2 linked regions of the Callithrix jacchus genome follow. Each later gene encodes a partner of the first gene's protein in a complex. Links are inferred from orthologs where the notes say so. Each region holds a gene or a part of one and is shown on either strand. Other genes may lie near its edges.

Region 1 (4,242 bases):
CTGTATCGTTCCAATTTTAGTATATGTTCTGCCGAAGTGAGCACAATTTTTTTTTTTTTTTTTTTGATACGTTCTCTCTCTCTGTCACCCAAGCTGGAGTGCAGTGGCGCCATCTCAGCTCACTGCAACCTCTGCCTCCTGGTTCAAGTGATTCTCCTGCCTCAGCCTCCTGAGTAGCTGGAACCACAGGCACGTACCACCATGCCCAGCTAATTTTTTGTATTTTTAGTAGAGACGGGGTTTCACTGTGTTAGCCAGGATGGTCTCAATTTCCTGACCTTGTGATCTGCCTGCCTTAACCTCCCAAAGTGCTGGGCTTACAGGTGTGAGCCACGGTGCCTGGCCAATTTTTGTGTTTTGTGTTGAGACGAGGTTTCGCCATGTTGCCCAGGCTGGGCGCAAGAGATCATTATGCCTCAGCCTCCCAAAGTGCTGGAATTACAGGCCTGAGCCACGATGGCCAGCCCACCTCCAGTTTTGAGGTTACTGGTGTGTAAAGCACCCAACTCAGGGTTCCAACAGTAATTACGGTTCATGTAATGTCTACTCTTTATAATTCTTTTTACGTGCACACCCTGCAATATTACTGTGCTACTCAAAGCTTATTATGGGGCCAGGTGTGATGGCTCAGGCCTGTGATCCCAGCCTGGCTAGCATGGAAACTCCCCGTCTAATAAAAATACAAAAATTAGCGGGCGCGGTGACATCCGCCTGTAGTCCCTGTTACTCTGGAGGCTGAGGCATTGTCATCGCTTTAACCCAAGAGGGGAAGGTTGCATTAAACCAAGGTCGCGCCACTGCCTTCCAGCCTGTGGGACAGAGCAAAACCCGCCTCAAAAAAAAAAAGCTAATTATGGGACTTATAAGAAAATATTAATTTAGCATGCCCCAAGGACCAAAGTGCGCTGGGAATTCTAGCTGTCTTTGAGTGTGGTCAGCCGCCTGGGGGCCACGGAGACCCACGAGGAAGGGGGTCCTCGGTGCAAGCGAGGTCCAGGTCTTGAACCAGCCTGTCGCTATGTCTTGAACCTCAGTTTCCCTTTCTGCATTTGGAGAAGTTAACCCTCAGTGCGGGGCAGCCGGTTATTAACGTGTTCACGACACCCTCCACCCAGGGCAGGGGTGGGAAGGGCTGTTCAGCTTTTGAAAGAGAAAAACAACTTCCACATTCCTTCCGGCCCCACATCCTCGAAACGGAGCTGGGCGCCTCCTCTCGGGCGTAACTAGCCTCGGCCCCGCCCCCGACAGACACCGCCCCCAGCCCGCCGCCGAGGCCCCGCCCCCTGGGCCTCCGCGCCTCACATCCAGCGGGGGCGCTAGAGCGCGGGGGGCCGGGCAGGGCGGGCCCGGGAGGCCCGGAGGCGGAGCGGCGGGCCGGGGGCGGACTGGGGCGGGCGGAAGGAGAGCCAGGCCGGAAGGAGGCAGCCGGAGGGCGGGAGACGGGAGCGGGCCCGGAGCTGCTGGACTGGAGCGGCGGCGCCGCCATGTCCGACAGCGAGAAGCTCAACCTGGACTCGATCATCGGGCGCCTGCTGGAAGGTTGGCCGGGGTGGGGAAGGTCCGCGTCCGCCGCGCCCTGGACCCCTGCCCAGCCCGGAAGTGGCGCGCGGGCGGGCCCCCGGGGCCAGCTTAGACTGGGCGGGGACGCGCCGCGAGGTTCCGTGGCCGCAGCCGCCCCCCCCCGCGGACGCGCCTGAGAGGTCCGGGGCCGGCTTCGAGGCGCGGAGCAGCCCCCTCTCCCCGGCCGGGGGCTCACGGGTTGCCTCGGCTCTTGGGGCGAGGGAGAAACCCGGGAAGCCCGGTCCAGGGAGGTGTCTTGCGCTGTGAGGTTTTGGGCGGCAGCCCCCTGCGCACGACAGTCGCCTCCCGAGCCTTTGAGGATAACTAGGGGGGCTTCCCTTGGGAGGCTTGAGGCCGACGTCCCAGGAGGCTCAGCAGCAACAGCTGCCTCTGGGCAAGGAGGGGCCGAGGAGGCCTAGGCGCCCCCGGAGGTATCCACGGGGCCACCGTGTCGCCCACCCTCCCCCTGTCTGAGAGGCCAGGGTCCTGACTCCGCATTGCGCCCCCAGTGCAGGGCTCGCGGCCTGGCAAGAATGTACAGCTGACAGAGAACGAGATCCGCGGTCTGTGCCTGAAATCCCGGGAGATTTTCCTGAGCCAGCCCATTCTCCTGGAGCTGGAGGCACCCCTCAAGATCTGCGGTGAGCAGCCCCCAGCCTCGCCCAGGCCCCTTTGGCTTCCTAAAAGTGGCACTGGCCCCCACAAAGTTCCTGGAGCCCTCCTCCCTTGAGCCTAGTCCTGGCCCTGGGTTCAAGTCTAGACCCAGCATCTAGCTTACTCGGTTCCATGGGTCACAGGTGACATCCACGGCCAGTACTACGACCTTCTGCGACTATTTGAGTATGGGGGCTTCCCTCCGGAGAGCAACTATCTCTTTCTGGGGGACTATGTGGACAGGGGCAAGCAGTCCTTGGAGACCATCTGCCTGCTGCTGGCCTACAAGATCAAGTACCCCGAGAACTTCTTCCTGCTCCGTGGGAACCACGAGTGTGCCAGCATCAACCGCATCTATGGTTTCTACGATGAGTGTGAGTGGTCTGAGCACCCAGGGTTGCCCGGGTCCCGAAACGCTCCTTGCTATTCAGTGGGACCCTCACATTGGCTTCGTATCTGACAGACACTTGCTAGACTGTGCGCTCCACGAAGGCAGGGCCCGCTCCATTCTCGTGCCTGCCCTGCCCTGCCTGGCACGGGGTCTGGGGCATGGTTGCTGACTGGAAGGCTGCTGGTATTCTGGTGCTTGCTCCCAGGGCCCTGCCTGGTGAGGCTCCACTTACATCTGCTACTAAGCACTTAGGATGTGTTTGCAGATGGGCTCAGCTGTCCAGAAGCTGAGATAAACCAGACCTGTACTTGGCCCAGCTTATGGGTGGGGGTGTTTGGGGAGTGCCAGCCCTGAGGCCGGTCCAGATTGGAACTCAGTTTTCATTGGACTTGGGTGCTTTAGAATTACTTCTGGCAGGAAGATCACTTGGACCCAGGAGCTCCAAGTTACAGTGAGCTATGATCTCGCCACTGCACTCCAGCTGACCCTGGGTGACAGAGCAAGACTGTTTAATTAAAAGTTAAAATAAAAAGTAAAGAGAATAGTTCCTGGAAGGCTGATAGGCTGCAGGGGCAGGAGTGGGGACAGGGGCAGGGTGCAGGGTGGTTTGCCTCCAAGCCTCTCTCCTCCCATCTGCGTCTGAATAGCCCAGGGACCCAGGTGGAGGGTGGGGTAGGCGGGCCCCTCACAGCCATCTCCTGGGCAGGCAAGAGACGCTACAACATCAAACTGTGGAAAACCTTCACGGACTGCTTTAACTGCCTGCCCATCGCAGCCATCGTGGATGAAAAGATCTTCTGCTGCCACGGAGGTGAGGGAGGGGACGGCTGGGGACAAGGAGACCTGGCCGCATCCCCCATTGCCGGGCCAGCTCTCCTTAGGTCTGTCTCATCTGGGAAGTCACTCCTTCTGGGAAGTGTCTCCCATACCCCTGTGCCGGGCTGCGCTGACTCCCTTGTGCATCCTACATGGAATAGGCTTGGCTTGTCTATCTCCCGGGAGCTCTGCGCTCCTGAGGGCGGGGACATCTTTGTGCCTCTTTGGGAACCTGCAAAAGCTGAGGGGAAGGGGATGACTTCTGCCGCCTGGGTGCCCAGGTGACCTGTGGAGGAATCAAGGGGGCAGTGGGAAAGGTGAGGCTGATTGGCCACAGCTTCCTGGAGTGAGGATGTCCTTGTTTGAGGATGTGGACTTCCCCCGGTCCCCCAGGCTTGTCCCCAGACCTGCAATCCATGGAGCAGATCCGGCGTATCATGCGGCCCACAGACGTGCCTGACCAGGGCCTGCTGTGTGACCTACTGTGGTCTGACCCTGACAAGGACGTGCAAGGCTGGGGCGAGAACGACCGTGGCGTGTCTTTTACCTTCGGAGCCGAGGTGGTGGCCAAGTTCCTGCACAAGCACGACTTGGACCTCATCTGCCGGGCGCACCAGGTGGGCTGGCAGCTCTGGCCTGGGGTGGGAGAAAGGGAGGCCAGTGCCAGCATGCAGAACTGACTGCTCTGGTCTGCACCCAGGTGGTAGAAGATGGCTATGAGTTCTTTGCCAAGAGGCAGCTGGTGACACTTTTCTCAGCTCCCAACTACTGTGGCGAGTTTGACAATGCTGGTGCCATGATGAGCGTGGATGAGACCCTCA
Region 2 (4,309 bases), on another chromosome or scaffold:
CCAGGTGATCACTAGAGCTCAGGAACCAAACCAACCCCATGGGTAACTAACTTGTTACTTTTTTTTTTTTTTTTTTTTTTTGAGACGAGGTCTTGTTCTGTCACCCAGGCTGGAGTGCAGCAGTGTGATCATGGCTCACTGCAACCTCTGCCTCCTGGGCTCAAGCAATTCTCCCGCCTCAGCCTCCAGAGTAGCTAGGACTACAGGTGTATGCCACCAGGCCAGGCTAATTTTTGTAGGGATGGAGTTTCACTATGTTGCTCTGGCTGCTTGTCACTTTATAAGTAGTTCAGATGTGAAATACCGGTAGCTAGAGCTAAGAATAACATAAAAGTTAAACTGTCACAAGATATCTTATGTAGGTGAAAACAGAGGTGGAAACTAGCAACTGTCTTATGGAGGAGCAAAGCTGACAGCGCTGGAGACAATGGCTTACTTCACCAGAGGGCCTTGACTACCCCCACCCCCTGCCTTTAGGAAATGCCGAGAGCACGAGGCTTGCTCAACACCTCCCTCCCCAGAGGCTGGCAGACCTCAAAAACCCCAGAGCATGAAAGCTCCATGCCTTCTACCCTGGCAGAAAAAGGACAAACTACACCATAAACTACACAGAGAGAAGTTAACTGACTGCTGGGCAGTTTGAACAGACCTAAGGGTGAAAACCATTACCCCAGACATTTTCAGCCTCAGTCAGTAGGGACATGTGATTTACAGGAAATTAGGAGGTTTACAAAATGTTAGCAGCTCAAGTTTCTTCCCTGGGAAAAGAAGCAGGAGAAGCTCTAAGAACTATATCCGAGAAAGTGCTTTGTTCACTGCTAAGCTTCTGACACAAGTCAGTTATTAATACCCACAGCTCACTGCCTCACACTTCAACCCACCAGTGAATGTCTATAGTGAATGACTATAAAACCATATATTATAAAACTCTAACACAGGCTGCACCAAAGCCTTCCCAAGCCCAGGACAGCCACGTGGCCAAAAGCATGAACTTCGGATAAGATCTTGGGCAAGCTGCTGGCTCTTTCTCTCACCCCAGGTCCTCCATCGTTTATAATAAACAAAATCTTTCCGGAGGTGTCTTGTCAAATGATGAGCAAATCCACTTCAAGTGCCTGGTCTTTGTAAGCCCTGTTGGTTGCTGTTATTACAGCCGAGCTTCAGAGCTCTTAATTCATATCTCCATCTTACTCCTGCTGCCAGAAAAACCTCTGGAGGCCACGATTCTGAGCCTTGTCAGCCACCCTCTCTGGTCAGGTCCAGGGCAGAGTGGGTCCTGGAGGAGCAAGACCAGGGAGGATTCACACTATCAGGGGCCACTGGGGAGTAGGGGCAATGCCAGAGCTCTATGATCAAGGCCCCAGTGGTCTTGATGGCCTTTGTCCACCTCTCCAGACTCCGCTTTGTCCCAGGCCAGAGTCTAGCTGGGCGTCCAGTGTCCATCCTGTGGCCAGACATCTAGGGGGCTTTCCCTCACCTCCCACTCTGGAGTAGGGACCCCTGGGGGCTCCCACAACCCGTGGGCTTACCAGATCTCAGCACTTACCACACTGGCTTGTCACTTTGTGCTCCTGCCTTCCCTGGGGCAGGACTGCTACCGTGTCTGACGCCCCAGCCAGGTCAGTTCAATGTATGAGCCCAGGCCCTAGTTGTGACCACAGCTCCAGCTCCCCAAACCTCCGGGAGCAGTGAAGGGTTGTTTATGAAGAGGCTGCGTTTTATTATTCAGATGAATTTGTCAACTCCCTGGAGGATTCCTCCTCCCGTTAACGCCATCTTAAGAAGGGGAGGTAGAGAAAGAGCTCCCCACCCCTCCCACCACGTCCTGCCGCCCATCTATACCCGCCGGGTTCTCGCCGAGGCAGCCAAGGAACCCAGGGGTGATTACCATGAAAGGGTCTCTTTGAGCGGCGCGCAGGCCCTCCCCACTGGGGGTCTCGGTCGTGGCCGATTTCCCGGACGCACACCGTTACGCTGGAGCCCGCGATGAGGGCAAAACGCCACGCACAGCCGGTCCCACAGCGCACCCCGCTAGCGGAGAGCGCGGCAGAGTCCGGAGAGCGGCCACACCTCCCGCCCCGGAACAAAGCGACGGCCGGGGGAGGCGGCGCGGCGGGGCCCCCTCCCCTCCAAGGCCGCGGGACCACTCACCGCGCGCTCCAGTCCCGGCTCGGCTCAGGCACTCAGGCCGCCCCCTGCTAGCCCGCGCCGGTGAGTAGGCAGCGCCGCGCCCGCCGGGCCCCGCGGCCGCCGGACTGACGGCTCCCCGCCAGCCGGCCGCTCCAGTCCGTCCCCGCCCAGGCGCCTCCTTAAAGCGACCGCGCCGCCAGCGTGCGCCCCGAGCGCCTCGCGCGCCGCGCATTCCTTATATTGCCACAGTGCCTGCTAAAAATAGAGCGCCGCGGCAGGGGAGCCCGGGCCGGGTGCCTGGACCCCGTTGCCCTCGCGTGCACCCCGGCCCCCAGGACGCGCGGCCTGCGAAATCCAGCCCACCGTGCCGAATTCCCTGGGCCCGGCAGGGCGCGCAAGCGAGCCAGGGGCTGGGGTCGGCGCCGCCGCCTCCCCCGCGGCCCCGCGCACTTACCCGATTCCGCCCGGGAGCTGGCTTTAAGGTGGACGCTGAATGGGAATTCGCCCCGGCCTCTTTAAGAGCCTCTGCGTTCCAACCTTTAAATCTCCGCTCCGGCCCGGCCAACTTCTGAGCCGACGCACGCTCTCCAGTCCTAGGCGAGCCTCCGCCGCCACCTTAGCCGCATTCCCTTCGAATCCGGAGACGTCTTTCTTCCCGATCCTGCACCAGCGTCTCTTCTAGGCCTTCTTGGTGCACAGTTCCAGGGCCCAAACTTCGTTGGGATGGATGCGACGGGGACTGGCGACAAGCGTGCACCATTTCATTGTTTCAGTTCCGCTAACTCTCTCCAGCGGCGTCGTTTTCCCCCGTTAAAAAAATCAAGATATAATTCAACACCATAATATTCCACCTTTTGAAGTGTACTATTCAAGCCGAGCGCGGTGGCTCACGCCTGTAATCCTAGCACTTTGGAAGGCGGAGGAGGGTGAATCGCCTGAGGTCAGGAGTTCAAGACCAGCCTGGGCAACAGGGTGAAACCCCATCTCTACGAAAAAATCAGCCCGGCAGGGTGGCACGTGCCTGTAATCCCAGCTACTCGGGAGGCTGAAGCAGGAGAATCACTTGAACCCGGGAGGCAGAAGTTGCAGTGAGCCGAGATCGCGCTCTAGCCTGGGCAACAGAATGAGACTCTATCTTAAAAAAAAAAAAAAAAAAGTGCAATTCAGTGGTGTTTAGCATATTCACATAGTTGTGCAACCATAACCATGAGCTAATTTCAGAACATTTTCACCACTTCCTACTCCCCAGGGTGCCCCCTCCCTGCAAAAAACAAACTTTCCCTGTCTCCCCACTCCCCCTATCCCCCTAACCCCGAAAAATAAACTGCCCATTAGCAGTCACTCCTCATTCACCCCTCCCCCTGCCTCTGGGAACCACTAATCTACTTTCAATCTCTTTGCCTATTCAGGACATTTTCTATAAATGGAATCATACATGTGGCCTTTTGTGACTAGCTTCTTTCAGTAAACAATGTTTAATGATCTATTCATGATGTAACATATAGCAGTGCTTCATTCCTTTCTGTGGCTGAGTAATGTTTCACTGTATGTCTATACCTTTTGTTTATCTGTGCATCACTTGATGAATATATAGGTTTCTGTTTTGGGGCTCCTGTGAATAAAGCTGCTATGAATATTCATGTACAAGTCTTTGTATATGAACATATGTTCTTCTTTCCCTTGGGTATATACTTAAGAGTGGAATTGCTGGATCATATGTTAACTCTATCTTTAACTTTCGAAGGAACTGCCAAACCGTTTTCCAAAGCAGTTGCACCATTTTACATTCCCACCAACAATGTATGAGTGTTCCAATATCTCCACATCCTTGCAAACGCTTGTAATTGTGTGTCTTTTTTCATTATAGCCATCCTATTGGGGGCGAAGTGGCACCTCATTGTGGTTTTGATTGTCAGCATCATTTCTGAGGACATTCTTTCTGTGGGTGGACCTCAGTGACATAACCAGCTTTACATGTCCAGGGAACCCACTCCCTTGCCAGGTTTCCCCCAGGCCTAAGGGAGCCTCACAGCACTGCTGACCCTGCCTGCCATGCTGAGGCTCTCAATCCCACACAGGCTTCCGTTGGCATCTCAGCCACCCATGCAGCCATTTGAAGAGAACTGCTGTGCACCCCCTGTGCCTCCATTCCCACTGCTGCCCCAAAGGCCCTCTAGAC

The links.
Region 2: the proteins of PPP1CA (region 1) and MRAS are in contact, whole or in part, in a crystal structure (PDB 7TXH), measured with the Homo sapiens proteins. The link is inferred for Callithrix jacchus from reciprocal best matches to the Homo sapiens genes PPP1CA and MRAS. Residues at the interface, in NP_002699.1 of Homo sapiens: Pro178, Asp179, Gln181, Gln185, Arg188, Ile189, Met190, Pro192, Thr193, Pro196, Asp197, Gln198, Trp216, Gly217, Glu218, Phe225; in NP_001078518.1 of Homo sapiens: Val6, Pro7, Ile31, Gln35, Lys36, Ile37, Val39, Asp48, Ser49, Tyr50, Leu51, Lys52, His53.

What each region holds. Positions count from the first base shown.
Region 1 is NC_133511.1:124,477,300-124,481,541, reverse strand, and holds the start of PPP1CA (serine/threonine-protein phosphatase PP1-alpha catalytic subunit), read left to right. Parts: upstream 1-1,387; 5' UTR 1,388-1,484; coding exon 1,485-1,539; intron 1,540-2,069; coding exon 2,070-2,201; intron 2,202-2,357; coding exon 2,358-2,588; intron 2,589-3,311; coding exon 3,312-3,416; intron 3,417-3,814; coding exon 3,815-4,038; intron 4,039-4,121; coding exon 4,122-4,242. UniProt on the Homo sapiens protein: Protein phosphatase that associates with over 200 regulatory proteins to form highly specific holoenzymes which dephosphorylate hundreds of biological targets.
Region 2 is NC_133518.1:45,976,572-45,980,880, forward strand, and holds the start of MRAS (ras-related protein M-Ras), read right to left. Parts: upstream 2,846-4,309; 5' UTR 2,585-2,845; intron 2,341-2,584; exon of another isoform or gene 1,547-2,340; intron 1-1,546. UniProt on the Homo sapiens protein: Signal transducer in the Ras-MAPK signaling pathway that regulates cell proliferation and survival. Core component of the SHOC2-MRAS-PP1c (SMP) holophosphatase complex that regulates the MAPK pathway activation.